Alligator mississippiensis: one gene and its partner. Each later gene encodes a partner of the first gene's protein in a complex. Links are inferred from orthologs where the notes say so. Each region holds a gene or a part of one and is shown on either strand. Other genes may lie near its edges. The genes, in order: PLXNA2 and SEMA6A.

Region 1 (7,830 bases):
AGAAATACGGGGATGAGGGCGCGTTCCCCCTCCCCTGTCACATGGTTCTTGTTCTAGCCATTGAGGGGCCAATTAAAAGCGCTTGATGAGGGCAGGGTTTGAACCAATGCGTGCAAGTGCATGGGAAAGAGTGGGTGAGCATTGCTTAACCCATCCTGGCTGAACAAAGATACCTCTACAAAGCAAATTTAGAGCGTATTGTGCCAGTACCAAGAAGCAGGTATGGCATCTCCTCTTGAATCGCCCATCCGCACGCACCATGCAGCATCTAGGCATCGTCTTCCACTTCTAACCATGACTTACGCAGCCTGCTGGCTCAGCTCTTGCATGAGCGTATCAATGCTGAAACCTTCCCCAGACATTGGATCAATCCCAGGAGACACATCCAAGGCTCCAGGCTCAAACTGCATCAAAAAAGTTTCCAGAGCCAGCTCTGGATATCCCCAAAGCACTAAAGCTCTTGGGAGACAGTCAACGGGAGACTTCAGGCAGATCCTGCAAGTCGAGACACCACAGCGTCTACACCACGAACTGCTCCAAATGTCATTTCCATTTAGCTGCTTTGCAAGCCAATTTGTCACGTCCTAATGCAATTTGCTGAAGAGAGTTAAAGAGCACAGGGCAGGAGGAGTCATCCTTTCTTCAGCATCATATACCCAGGTGGAGAGTGCTTGGGGTCTTTAGGGGTTTTAATATCTAGCTGTATTTCAGAAAGTTCAGTTTCATTCAACAGCTGAGGGGCCAGGGACAGCTCAGGGTTAACTGGGAGAGCAAAACAGAGTGCAAGGAAAGCACTGGGAGCCGCTATTTCTATCAGATCCGTGGGTTCGCAAACGCATCTGTTACCTGTCTCCACTGCACAAACTTGTTATAAGCCAGGGGGAAACTCTGCAAATAATTAGATCAAATACAGCTATAAAGGCAATGAAGAGTAAATTGGGTTGCTTCATCTTCCTGCAACGAGCACGGCAGAGGAGAGAAGAGCAAGGTGTCTGCGTTTGCTTGCACGAGCCATTTTACAAGAGAAACCAGACATACAAGTGACTCTTGGGCTGGACCGTGCTTCCAAAGTCAAGGTGACTCTGCTCAGATCCTAGAAGCACTCCTAACTATTGTATTTAAGGCCTTATGGTTTATAAGCCGAGACTGAAAGAGCATCTGGCAAAAGGCAGCAACATAGGACACACTTTTTATTTTATTTTTTTAACCAAGGCAAATATCTCCACATTGGGAAAATATAAGCATCAATTCTGAAGAGGGCACAAAGGCATCAGTCATTCTGCGGTGGAAGTAGGTCATTTGACTGAACTTTTAGAGATATTGATATCACCGAGGCCGTCCGGCACATGAAAGCAGACAGCCTGCCTCCCAAAACTCAGTCAGGGTCCATCAAACAGATTCATCCTACTAGTGAAATGTCAAGTGGTAGACAAGTAACGAGGAGGAAACCCTCCTAGAAACAGGATTGCATAGCACGGTACCCTACGAACATTGCATCCTTGCTTGCTGCTGAGCCAGTATCCTGAACACAGATCACGGAGGCATGATTTTTTCCCCCTCTATCGCTCCTTAACCCCCCTGCTTTCCCTTAACGTTAACCTACTGACTTTCAGATGCTGCTTAAAACAGTGATTCAATGAACATCATACATCCTGCCTTCAAGACCATGAAGTACTGGCACAGCTTGCACAGAGAAAAGGCTGGTGTTTGACTATACCAGGTGAAACCGGGGGCCGGATGAAGAGAGGACAGTGCGGCCCCTCACTGTACGTATAGACAAGCCGCTGTTATGATCGACACGCATGTAGCATCCAAGCAACTTTAGGGTTTGATGAGGCTGGAAACAGTCCCTGGGACCTAGGAATTTTTTCAGAAAAGCATGCACAGATCCCCCCTTCCCTTTCCCAGCTTCTGGAAAGGGATCTTGCAGGATCTGGGACCTTCACAGTAGGGATATTATTTTTTCCAGGAATCCTGAGTGCTGGCAAAACAAAAGTCTCTCCTGGCCAGTGGCAACTTTTGAGGGGTTTTGTTCCCTTATGACGCACTGCCTTTCCCCAGTCCAGGACTGAATGGTAGGGAATGCAGTCACTTGGATTTAGGAAGGAATAAAACATATTGACAGCAGAACTACACTAAGGGGACAAAATAACAGGATGCCCAAACTGGATTGGGAAGGGTGGGGAGGGGGACAGACAGAGGGGAGCCTCACGGGACTTGCATTATCGGTTGAGATTTAGCTAGCAAATTAGGAAACCCCTCAGGATGATGCTCCCAAATCCAGCCACTTCCAAGTGAAGACAAACATGCTCCTACAGCTTCCAGCCTCAGCCAGAAAACAACCTGGATGCATGCATGCACCCCCCAAAGCCCATCCCCAAGGACGTGGTGGGGGTCTTTCCCCGAGGGCACCTGGCGAGACTCCCCCTTTGGCAGGGGGGAGAGCGCCAAAGCCGCGGCGCTGGGAAAGGATATTTGGGGGCTCCCTTCATGCAGAATAAGAGGGGGCAGGTGCTGGCTGGAGGCACCCCCGCCTTTGCCCACCCCGGCTGGGTGGCTTACTTACCAGACCTAAAGATCCTCTTCCGTCTGTCTCCTTGGGGGCTCTCTGCTTTCTCCCCCCACCCCTCCACCTCCTTGGATTTACGGAGAGGTAATCCAGTCCGACCCTGAATTCATTGAAATCCACCGCAAGTCACCAGCTACTTATCTGTATTCCTAAAGTCTCTCTGCTCTTCCTTGGAACGGCTCCTCCAGGCAGTCAGTCAGTCATTCCTCTGAAGCCCCTGTGCGGCTGGCTAGCCAATTATTCTTATTCTTTTTAAGGGTCCTTATTGCTAGGATTCGCCCACCTAGACTTCTCCCCTACCCTCCCTGACATCAGCCATCCCGGGCTTCCTTTGCTTTTTTTTAATTTTAATTTTTTTTTAATTTTTTTTTTTTTTTACAGTCCCATTTCCTTCACAGATCTGTTTTTTCCTCTCTCTCTCTGTGTCTCTCCCTCGCTCTCTCTTTCTACCAGCTGAATTTCACAGTAACTGTGCACTCCTTCTCCCGGCTCTAGGCTGGCACTGGAAGCTCATCCCCCCATCAGCAGCAGTCTGACTGCTAAAGCCTGCCTCCCTGTATTACCATGTAGCTCATTAACATACAGTCACTGGGGGTTAACTCTTCCGCAGCCGCCAGCTCCAAACCGCAGGCCTTCGCCAGTGCCCAATGCTGGACCCTTGCATTTCTCTCTCCGGTGACGTGCAAGGAAAGCGGCTCAAGGGATGCAGGTGCAAGCTAGAGACCTCCATTGACACTTGTTCCCCAAGAACCTGCTGAGCCGGACCAGCCACCCGCAAACTACCTTAAAGGTAAAACTCCAGCAAAGCACAAGGATTCAGAGGCAGGGCTGGGAAATGGGGGCTGACACATGGGTGCTGCCCACTCAGCCTGGTTTGCAAAGAGAAATGGAAAGGTGGGGATACCGCCACCACACCCCTGCCTACCTGCTCCCTGCTGCCCCTCACCAGGCTTTGGGAGGCTTCCCCGACAGGGATCCTCTATGCACCCGACATTGCTTTTGCCTTTTATTTTATATGCATGCGGACACATGGACAGAAATACAAACTCAGTGAAAAATAGATTCATAGGTGTTAGGGTAGGAAGGGACCTCAATAGATCATCGAGTCTGACCCCCTGCATAGGCAGGAAAGAGTGCTGGGTCTAGATGACCCCAGCTAGATGCATATCCAACCTCCTCTTGAAGACCCCCAGGAGGTCTTGTATGTTAATGAGCTACAGGGTCAAGGGGACCCTGGGGGTCCTCTTGAAGACCCCCAGGGTCTTCAGTAGGAACCGTTGCAGTTTTAAGGCAGCTCCCGTGTTAGGGCATCCATTTCCTGACCTGGCTACTAGCTAGTCATCTGGTTACTACCCACATGGGTTGGATTTGAAATGCTGAGAAAGGCTCCACAACCCATTACTCACCCTCTGAGCCATCCAGCACCTCCTAGTTACACACGTGCATGTTGCATTGCACAACAGGAGTGAAGAAATACAGGCCTGTGCTGCAGCCGTCATGCAAGGGATCTGAATCGGGCCACCTGGGTTCTCGTCTCAGCTGCTGCCACCCGCTTCCTATGTGAACCTGGACAAGTCACAACCCCGGCTCCTTGCTACACCTTTTCTCCCTCAGCGCAGCAAGAGGGAAAGGAGTTTTATGCAGCATTTGCATTCCCAGTACCTGGGTTGTGCTCCTGTCTCAGGGCACTGGTTCAGAGCCCCTGGGGGGTGGTTTCTGCACCTTGTACGCTCCTGGATGAATTAAAGGGGATGACTACACCTAATGATTGTGCTTGGGAAATTCCACTTCACAGGTCTGACTTGAGAAGCAACTGGATTGGGTTCAGACCCTTGCGCCACAAGGCAACGTGCAAGTCCAGTTGCAACTGGATTGGGTTCAGACCCTTGCGCCACAAGGCAACGTGCAAGTCCAGATGCAACTGGATTGGGTTCGGACCCTTGCGCCACAAGGCAACGTGCAAGTCCAGATTCCTACTGGGAAGAGTAAACACAGACTGCAAGCAGCCCAGGGTCTACCATCCACATCCAACTCAACAGGTCAGAGGACTAGGAGCCGATCGCAGACCGTCCCAACCCAAACCGTGCACCTGATGCAACACTTTCAGAGTGGATGAGCAACTGGGATTCCCACCTAAAAACTTCAGGCGCACCACAGCATACACGTCAGAGGACCAGACTGTAGAAGCAGAAGATCCTGCCCCCCATCAGACCAGCTGAAGAAGGGGCTCTAGCCAAGTGGTGATATGTCAGCGAGTTGCTGGTTGCCAAAAGGGCTTTGAAGCCTTGTGGTTACACCGTGTTATGTTGGGGTATGTCTCTGGGACACGCAAGAGAGCACAAGTGGGGTAATATTTAAAACAGCAAGCCACTCTAGAGACTGACATGCTTTAAATAAAGCCAGGTCATCTGATTCAGATAATGTTCCCATCCCCAGAGAGGCTCAGAGGAGCTGCAAAACAAATTATAAAATAAAGAGGGAACCATACGTACGGGAACAGCTGAGACTTGCAATCAACTCGGCTGCCCTGAGGAGATAGCAGACAGACCACACCGCTGCTTATGTGGCTTCTCCATTCTTCCATATGGAGCTCCTGAACAATGCTCCTCTACCCTGAAGTGGGTGCAGGTGCTGAAAGCTGCTTTGGATATAGCAGAGGCAGGCTCACATGACTAGCTGGCTCTAAAAGCTGTAGCCACACAGACGTGCACTCCAAAGCAGCACAGCTTCTTCAGGAGCAATGGAGAAGTAAGATCCTGACTGTCCCTGGACAGGAGATTCCAGTCTTTACTTCCCAACCTCTCCAGCAAAAGCTTTAATCAAGGCATCTTGTCCCTAAACTAACACACCTACAGCCCTTAATCACGGCACACCGCTCACCGGGTATGCAGGAATAGTCAGGGGAAGAGATTAACTCTACTGAGGAGGCTCCCCAGCTGTCCCCTGCCCACAGCTCACATGCCTGCAGCTAACTAAAACCATTTGGGGGAAGGAAATAAATATCTCTTCCCTGAAGTCTCCAAGCCTCTCGAGGAGGAGAGACTCAGCGATGCACCGGAAAGGTCCTTTCCCTTGGCAGCACACTAGGCAGGTGCTCAGCAGGTTGCTGCTTGCCCTCTTTGGTCCCGGCTGCTTTTTCCCTTTGCAGGAGTGCATGTTTGAGAAGGGTAGAAAGGAGATAAATTAAGCCCATGAGCTCATTCCTATTGCTCACAGGTAGTTTAAAGGTATTTCTCCCCTCGAGGGGACTACAACAGACAAGAAATCAATAGTCTCCCCAGGGAGAAAGCCACCCTGTAGGCAGTGAATACACCTCTCTAAGAGGAGATGTTCCCTGTCGCTCAGGAAAGGATTTCCTTGTTTAAACATGTTCCCTACAATTTTCCAGCATGAGGCACTGGCCCAGCTCAGGCCTCGCTCCTCTTCCCCTCAACTGCTTCACTCATAGCTAGATTGAGTCTGAGACTGGGGATATTTCGGCACCTGGAAAGGCTATCTACAACGCAGCTATTCAGCTTGGGACAGGGACACGAGGCTGCTCCATGCACACAGCGAGCTCTGCTCTTTCATTATTCTGCCCCCGCTACATTTGCTGCGTCTTGCATTCACAGCAAATGCCACTAAATCCCATTACAAATACCAGCCTTGGCTAAACGCACGTCCCACTAATGCAATTTCTCTTTTCGTGGGAAGTCGTACAAGGCGGGTCGGAGCATCTTAATTGCTCTCTCCTCTTGGCTGGACTGTCGGCATCCTGCATTCTGGTTATTATTTATTGATGGCCAATTGTTGTCAAGATGGAGAGTCTCTCTCTGGCTAATTACAGGATTGCTGAGCTAGGGGAGCAGCCCAAAAGGGCAGCAGAGGAGGTCACACATATGATGCAGGTGAGGAGCACGGGTCTTTTCCAAGCTGTGCACAAGAGCAAAAAGGCACCAGCCAGGATTCACCTGGGGTACTGATGCCAGTGAGTGTGAGCTGATGAATGATGTGTTTGCCTAGCCACTTCTCTGGCCATGCAGGATTTAGGCAACAGCAGCCTCATACCCAAGCCAACTATAGGTAAAAATCCTTGTCTAAAGTTGTGTTAACCCATGCCCAAGACCTGTGACAATAGTAGTACCTGGAAATTACAGGAAGCCTTTTTGCAACTGGAAGCATACAGCAGGCCTTCACCATAAGTATTTATCACTAGGAGGAGAACACGCGTTTGTGGTACACTCATATTACACACACACACACACACACACGTAGTGTGTATGTACTTGCACGTGCATTCAAGAGGTGTGTGCATGTGGCCTATTTGGGTCTGATGCCAGCATCTTGCAAGGATGTACTTGTTAGGCCATGTCAGTGTTTGATGCGGTGTTTGTGTCTTCCATGCAGGTCTCATTTGTGTCCTCCATCCTGTGGCTCTGTTTTGTCCACGTGCTGCTGTGTGCTAGTACTGGGCATATTTGTTCCTAGGCATATGTGTTTGTGTATGTGTGTACTAGGCTTCGGGCATCTTGTCACTTTATTTTGAAAATATGCCTCCATGTCTCCTTCTTGCATTTGTGGAGCATTTGGTGCATTGCTGCCTCTTTGTTATATGCACAGATCCATAGTTGTGAAGCTTGCGTGTGCAAGCTGTCCGTGTCCGTGCTTTCTGGGCACGCCGGGCCAGTGTTCTGCATACAGGTTTAGATGTGCATCTACTTCTTTTGTGAACGTATATTTGCTTGTGCAGTCTGTTCTGCAGGCATATACTAAGGGAAAACCGAGGGCGCTGCACAGCATGGCCTCCCTCTCACCAGTCTTGCACCATGAGCTGATGGCAACCTGCTCGACAGCCATGCGGACATGGGTGCCCAGTGCCTACATGGGAACTACATCTCACTTTGCAACCAGCTGCCCTCAGCACGGTGGTAACCACCAGCAGAAAATTCTGGTGCAAGTCACTCCGGATAATTTACCGGCCAAATGATAGCGAACAGAGAACATAAAGATGCCCTGAGAAACAGAAAGCTGTTTGCGTAGGGAACAAAACTGGGCAGGACCCACATAAAAAGAGCCATGGAGCCGTAATTTATGACGGCGTCTCCCCCCACAGCTTTGTGGGAAGCTGACATCCTGGGGCATTCGAAACAGAAGCTTGACTCATCCTGCTACAAATCAAACAGGACAGTCGTGGAGTCCTTTATTGCTCCCCACAACCCCTTGGCTGCCCCTTCCCCTCCTCGGAGAGCATCCCCCTTGGGGCATGCCATTCTGCTGCACCT
Region 2 (7,093 bases), on another chromosome or scaffold:
TTTTGCTTTTCCTTTTTTGTTCTGAAAACTACCAAAGGAAGTCTAACAATAGAAATATTTATAAATATCTCAAACCAGCGGAATAATCTTGGAAAGATATCAGAGTCTGCTCCAGATCTCCGTAAAAGTTGTGTGGGAAAAGCGTCTGACCCTGCAAGACTTTTTTTAGGTGAGTAAACTCATCACAGAAGGCGTTCTAGTGCTGTGAGCAGATTTACTCCTGTATTACTCCAGTGAGTCAGGATGGCAGGATCAGGCCCAAAGTAAATACATGCGTGTTAACAGAACTCAAACACTCACCAAAGTTATTTTTACGAACATAAGGTAATAGCTGAAGACACAATTGTGCTCTATATTTAAAGTTGGGTTAATAATTACTATTAGTGCTGGATGATATTAAGCAGAAGTTTTCAGAGTGTGTTTCAAATAATAAGCTACTAAATGAAAAGCAGAGAGGCTTTGGGATGATTCAACTTCCATGTTATGCTATTGTGGTATGTGCCACCACATTTGCGCTTAACAGACCAGCCCCTCCCCCCCTCTAATTAGGATTTGCCTAGTTAATTGACTTCACTATTTCTGCTTTTGTAATAGACTGGATTGGTTTATTAGGTATCCTGACCTGTATAAACACTGTGTATAGCAGCCTGACCTGCATAACACAACTATGTAGGTTGGCAAACTTAAAAACCAGCACTGATCTTAGGAAAGAGGGGAGAGAGAGACAAATCTTAGGAAAGGGGGGAGAGAGGGACAAATCTTAGGAAAGGGGGGGAGAGGGACAAATTGCCTTCAAACCAGCCCTCAAAGATTGACATGAACAGACATGGAAGAAAACCTAGTCATGTACTATACTGCGACTAACCACTGGTGGGAGATCCTGGGGCTCTGGCTCAAGCACAATAAAAACCCTACAGTCTGTGAAAGTTGCCCAGGTTCAGGGCAGGGAAAGCTGCGATTTGCACCCTTCCTCTGCAAGTCAGTCACCATCACTAGCTTTCCGGTCCCCTCTCAAGCAAATAAAAGCGACTGAGGAGCAAAGAGGCAGGGGGAGAAAACAGGCTTTCACACGCACCGATCCCCGGCACCCACGGCAGGTACTTGTTCGCAGCGCAGAGCAAACTTCTAGCAACACCTCCCGGTGTTGCTAGAACGCCCAAAATGGATTCACTGGCCCCGGAGTCACCCAGCCCCTCTCGCCCAGGCTGCTGCATCTGCTCCTGGTAATTGCTTGAAGGAGCCACCAGCTCCCTCCCTCCTCCCCAACCTCCCGGGGGGGGGGGGGGGGTTGTCTCCGTTCTGCTCCACTTCTCCGGTGCACCAGCACGGCAGGAAAAGCAACTCCTGGGGATTTGCAGGCTCCCACTTTGGCTCATGCAAATTCGCAGGCAGAGCACTTAATGCCCATTACTCTCAACTGAGAGGTTTTCACGCTCCTGCACCGCGAATCCCTCCTGTCAGCAGTATCCCCCCGGCCCAGCACGGAGCACCCGCCAGCCAGCCGGGGGGGGTGGTATTGTGTGTGTATGTATGAGTGTGCATGTTGATATTAAGTGTGCGTGTGTGGATATGAAGTGTGCGAGTGTCTGTGTATATTAAGTGTGAATATTGTGCATCTGAGAGTGTGGATGTGAAGCGTGTGTGAATATTGTGTGCGCGCGTATGCATCCATTAAGCGTGTGAGTGCTGCGTGTGGATATGAAGTGTGCGTGAATATTAAGTTACTTTATTGTGTGTGAATATTAAGTAAGGGTGTGAGCACTGTGTATGTGGATATGAGGTGTGTGTGAATCTATGAAGTGTGTATTGTGTGCGTGGATATGAAGTGTGTGTGTGAATATTACGTGCGAATGTTGTGTGTGAATATTAAGTAAGCGCGTGAGTATTGTGTGTGTGGATATTAAGTGTGTGTGTGTGCGCGTGTCCCGGCCCGCACCCCCAGGGCTTCGGTGCCCCCCTCCCCCCCGCACCCGGGCAGGCGGCGCTGGGAGGGAGCAGCAGGCAGACGCCGCATTGTGGCCGCCCTCCCTGGCCCCCACCCCCTTTGGACAAACTTGGCTTTTTTAAATTGTACTTCATTCACTGTAAAGCGAATTCACGGTGGTTTGAATCCCTCCCTTATTCCAAGCGGTGCTTTTTTTCCCCCCAGGGGAGCGGCCCTGGGCTGCCCCCAGGCCCTGGCGAGGGGGCAGAGGAGAATCCTCCCCTCTCCGCCCCTGACAGGACCCAGCTGCCCCTGTACTGAGGGAGCAGCAGCCCTCCCCCCCGGGGGCTGACAGCGCGGGGAGCAGGGGTCAGGGGCAGCACCCGGGCAGGGGCACATGCACACCCCCCCCCCCGCACACACACACGCACACCCCCCCCCGGGTAGGGGAGGCGCCCTCGGGGCCCGCGGGGCGGGGAGGCAGCGGCCCCGCAAACAAAGGCACCGCGCGGAGACAAGGCGGCGGCGGCTGCGGCGGAGGAAGGGGGGAAGGGGTCTCTCTCCCGGCAGAAGTTTCCGCGGTGCCCCGATGCACCCCGAGCCCACCGCAGCGGCAGGGGCGAGGCTCCCACATTGTCCCCGCGCGTGCAACAAAGCCGCTCCCCGCCCATCCGCGGCAGCCGGCAGGCAGGCAGGGCAGGGCGCCCCCAGCCTCCGTCCCGCCGCCCCGGCCCTCCCGCAGCCGCGCCCGGGGCGGTACAGTACCTTTTCCCGGCGCATGTATCTAGCGGCAGCCCGAGGACAGACCTAGCTGCGGGAGTGTCCCATTTAGTAATCCATGCCCGGGGACCGCTCGGGGGACACCGCAGCCGCGCTCGCCGGTGCAATCCTTTGTCATTCCTACATGGGGGCTCCTCGGGGCAAGGCACGGGGCGGGGGCACAGGGCTGCCACAGTCCGAGCTGCCTACTTTCTGCAGCGCCGAGGCAGCGTGCTCATTTCCAGGGGGCGGGGGGAGAAAAAAAAAAGCAATAATAATTGTAATAATAATAATAAAAAAGGTTCGGCAACTCCTCTGCAAACCCAAATTCCACCAGGCTTCCACTCCGGTAAGTCCCCCTCAGTCGCGCCCTAGGAGGCAAGTCATGTCAGGCTGCCACGATGCTGGAGGCTGCTCCAGGGAAAGTTGTGGGAAGCGCAGTTGCTCCTCGCCCCAGAGCTGCTGGTCATTGAGCTGGGCTCGGGAGAGGACTTGGGAGCAAAGCTCTCGCCTGGTGCCTGCCTCCCTCCTCACTGCCGGGCTCCCAACTCCGCTGTCACTGGAAGGCTGCTCGGCGGCGGGGCGGAGCCAAATCCCGGACTGGATCGCGGCATCACCGCACCGCCGCCTTCCCCACTCCCCGCCGGCTACACGCAGCAAGGCCCGGCCCTGCGTGCGCGCGGGACTAGGAGTGCGGGCTGGGGGGCGGGGGGCCGACAGCCGACTGCCCCCCGCCCCCGGGCCCGACACGTGCGGGCAAGGAGATAAGAGAAGTGGTGAGCCGGGGGGATAGTGCGCGACCTGCCTTATCCCTCCCCCCCCAACCTTGTGCCATGCAACGTGTATGCAATCGGGACTGAAACAAGGACGAGAGAAGTCTGGCTTGATCCTTGACTTACACAGATAGAGATCTCGATCTCTATAGATATATATACGTATAGATTTCTATAGATAAATACATGTTGATATAGATATCTATAAATAGATAGCTATAGATATCTATAGATAGATGTATTATATATAGGTACATAGATATCTATAGCTAGATAGATGTATTATACATAGATAGCTATAGATAGATGTATTATATCTATAGATAAATAGATGTATTATATATAGCTATAGATAGATGTATTATATATAGATAGATAAATGGATGCATTATATATAGCTATAGATAGATGTATTATATACATATCTATAGATAGGTAGATTTATTATACAATATATAGATATATAGATACCTATTGATATCGATAGAGATGTATTCTACATAGATATAGCTATATAGATAGATATCTATAGAGCTAGAGAGATGTATTATAGATAGATATCTATAGAGAGAGAGATATTACAGATAGATATATATAGATAGTTATCTATAGACAGAGATGTATTATAGATATATTATAAATATATAGATATCTATAGAGATATAGAGATGTATTATAGATAGATACTGGTATAGGTATAGGTATCAGGGGAAAAAGAGAGGCGAGGCAGGAGCACTCCGGGAGATGAGATGCAAGGAAGGATTTGCTCATCGATTTTCTTAAATGGAAAAGTTTTAAAGGATGAGGGGAAGTGAACTGTGAAGACTTTTCTAATGCCGAGGAACCGTTGCAGGGCTCCAGCCCTCGGGCAGGGACGAGCATCCCGCGAGGTGCCCGCCAGGTACGTGTGTGAGCGCGGGGGGAGGCTTCTTGCACTAGCAGGCGGCAGAGGAGCACAGATCTGCTGGCCTCGGGAGCCAGACACCAGCCGCCCTGCTGCGGGAGGGAGCCTGCCCGGCACGTTTGGCAGTGTTGCATTCATCTGCCCTAAGAGATTTGGTATTTAAACGCTCTTGCCGGGCAATGAATTGGGTGCCAATAAAAATAAATCAGCAGGATCCCAGCGGGCTCACGGGCTTAGCTGTGTGGTTTGTTCGGAACAGGTGCACGGCGAGGGAAGAAACAGCCCATTCTTAGGAACCTCCAGATGCCAAGGCACCGCCCTCCTCTCTGTTAAAAATACTTTCCAAGCAAACTTGCCCAAGGCCAACAAGTCCTTACTCCTTCCCCTCCCCAAGGCATATTCTTATTCCTATTCCCCCTGTGGATCCTTATGACTACATCAGGCTCACACTGATGCAACCCGCAGTACCGAAAGGCTGGCAAGTGCAACGTTACACCATGGCCATCGCTCCGGATCCACCCCAGTGCGCCTCGAAAAGTAGCAACGCTCCCTTTGAAACAGGGCGAGGATAGACAGCAAAGGGGAGAGAGGCTGCGAAAGAGCAGGAAGAGACACTTGTGTATCGCAGATCGGGGAGGGGGGTTAAAGCTCCGAAGATAACAATGAACAAACTGTCTGATGACGATAAAAGCAAAGCTGCAGCCTCTCAGGTGGTCTAAATTGGTCCCTCGGAAAGCCAAGTGCCTCGGCGGCGCCCAGAGAGCACAGGCGTGTGCTGCGAGTACTGTGCATCTGCATACGATGATATTAATAATAATAACATGCACGCGCACCGTCTCCGGCTTAGCAGCTTTGCTCCTCCGGGTGGAGGGGTGGAGAAAAGCCGGCTCGGCTCTCTCTCGCTGTTTGCCCCGCGGGCCAGAAGGGGCCGCTGCCCCAATTTCCTTGGCAAACAATGCAAGAATTGATGAAACTTGCGAAGTTGGCGCCCGCTCCCGCAGAAGGCAAAGGCGAAACTCCCGCTGACTTCAGCTGCCCCGGGGTCGGGGCCACCCAGCGCGCGCGCCTTCCCCCCTCCCGGCCTGCCTGCGGGAGCTGCGCGGACCTACCTTCCTTCCTACCTACCTACCCACCCCCGCGCGTCTGTCTGCGGCCAATTGGCGCGGCAAAACAAAGCGCTTTGCGGGGCGACGTCAGACCCGCGTTCGCCCGCTACCGCGCCTAAGCAGAGCGCAGCCATCGGGGAGGGCCGGCTGCTCCTCCGCGGCCGATTAGCTCTCAGCCTGCCTTTTCTGTTTTGTTTTGTTTCCTTCCCCCCCATCCCAGTTTGATAGCTGCCTGCAGGGCTAATCCGCCCCTGTCTCCGAGCCAAGCAGCCCCGAGAGGGACAGGAGCAGCGCTAATAAATTAATCCTTCTGCTTCCCAACCCCCTCGGCCAGGAGCTCTGCCGCTGCCGCTGCCTCTCCTAATCCTCGCGCCTCCCTCGGCAGCCGCACCAGCGCCTCCGCCGAGACAGGTAGTGCAGCCTGGCTCCTGCCTCTTGCATTTCTCCAGTAGGAGCAGAGGCGGCAGCAGCCTTAGCGCCGCTGATTTACATGTTAATTGTGTCTGGGGAAAAAAAAAGAACCCCAAAAACTTCTTTAATTGCCAGAATGAGGCAGAGCAAACGCGTTGTTTCACCGGCTGAACCAAATTAATTCCGGGTTTAGCTCCTTCCCGGGGAGAAACAAACAATTAAGCTGTCTTGTTTGCTGTAATGGATCTATTTGGCATGTGCTGCACGTTGCGGGGCTGGAGAAGGCTGGGTGGGGTTGGCCTGGGCATGCTGCTTTTGTCTTCATCTTTGGGGGGTTTATTTTGCAGGGGGGCGAAGATGGGAGAGAGACGATTTCCGACGAGCTACAAGCCGAGCAGCGAGGCGTCGCTTTGCATTTCTTTCCCTTTTTAAAACAGCTGATCCCTAAAGAAAGACAGAGGTGAAGACAAGGGAGTGCCCGCCTCTGATTTTTTCCCCCCAAATCCCATCCAGTTCAATAGCTATCACTGAAACCGGCTTGGATTTCGAGAATGAAATGGAAGTGTGGTCGGAGCCACGTGTAAATCCGCTCCCTTGCATATTTTGGATTTGTTCAGGGCAGCAGGAGAGGGAGAGGCAGGGAAGAAGGTGGGGAGGGGAGAGAGGGATGGAGGGGAAGAATGCATAAAAAAACCCCAAACCCTCCCAGAAAAGCCTACTCCTTGTGACTGCTACAGCTGAAACACCTGGGGTGTCCACGATGAAAATCTGAAACTCACTCAGGATGGAGGTTCAAAGCTCCCACTCCCACCACTTTAGGTTTCCAGTATGAAACAAAGCACCACTTGGAATAAGGGAGGGATTCAAACCACCATAAATTCCCTTTACAGTGAATGAAGTGCAATTCAGTGCAGCACATGGAGGCTTCTCAATGATCTTAATTCTGGGTATAAAACATAACCTTTAAAGTCCTGGGAAGGTGCTAAACTATAACCTGAATTCATTTAGGACAATGTGAGACCATCTCCCCCCTCTTGATTGAACTAGTGTGCAAGTGTTTCCTAACAGTACATTTACTGTATCTCTGCTACATGAATAGCTTCACAGCTTTGTGTTGTTCCTTCTGTTCAACAATCATTCCACTGTACTACATTGGTTCCTTAGTCCCATTCACTTTTTATATCAAATTATTGTTTGGGAAATTAAAAAAATACTG

The links.
Region 2: the proteins of PLXNA2 (region 1) and SEMA6A are in contact, whole or in part, in a crystal structure (PDB 3AL8), measured with the Mus musculus proteins. The link is inferred for Alligator mississippiensis from reciprocal best matches to the Homo sapiens genes PLXNA2 and SEMA6A. Residues at the interface, in NP_032908.2 of Mus musculus: Ala93, Cys94, Tyr95, Pro96, Lys155, Gln192, Asp193, Tyr194, Asp220, Phe221, Val222, Pro229, Ser230, Asp231, Leu386, Lys389, Val391, Thr394, Lys395, Ala396, Pro397, Val398, Leu407, Asp408, Ile409, Asn410, Gln411; in NP_061214.2 of Mus musculus: Arg108, Met109, Lys110, Gly111, Met162, Ala163, Thr188, Phe190, Leu191, Ile193, Tyr198, Thr206, Arg208, His212, Asp213, Ser214, Glu219, Gln266, Arg267, Glu270, Lys271, Lys393.

The regions. Positions count from the first base shown.
Region 1 is NC_081837.1:43,019,704-43,027,533, forward strand, and holds the start of PLXNA2 (plexin-A2), read right to left. Parts: upstream 3,110-7,830; 5' UTR 2,567-3,109; intron 1-2,566. UniProt on the Homo sapiens protein: Coreceptor for SEMA3A and SEMA6A. Necessary for signaling by SEMA6A and class 3 semaphorins and subsequent remodeling of the cytoskeleton. Plays a role in axon guidance, invasive growth and cell migration.
Region 2 is NC_081826.1:224,334,544-224,341,636, reverse strand, and holds the start of SEMA6A (semaphorin-6A), read right to left. Parts: upstream 3,246-7,093; 5' UTR 2,690-3,245; intron 1-2,689. UniProt on the Homo sapiens protein: Cell surface receptor for PLXNA2 that plays an important role in cell-cell signaling. Required for normal granule cell migration in the developing cerebellum.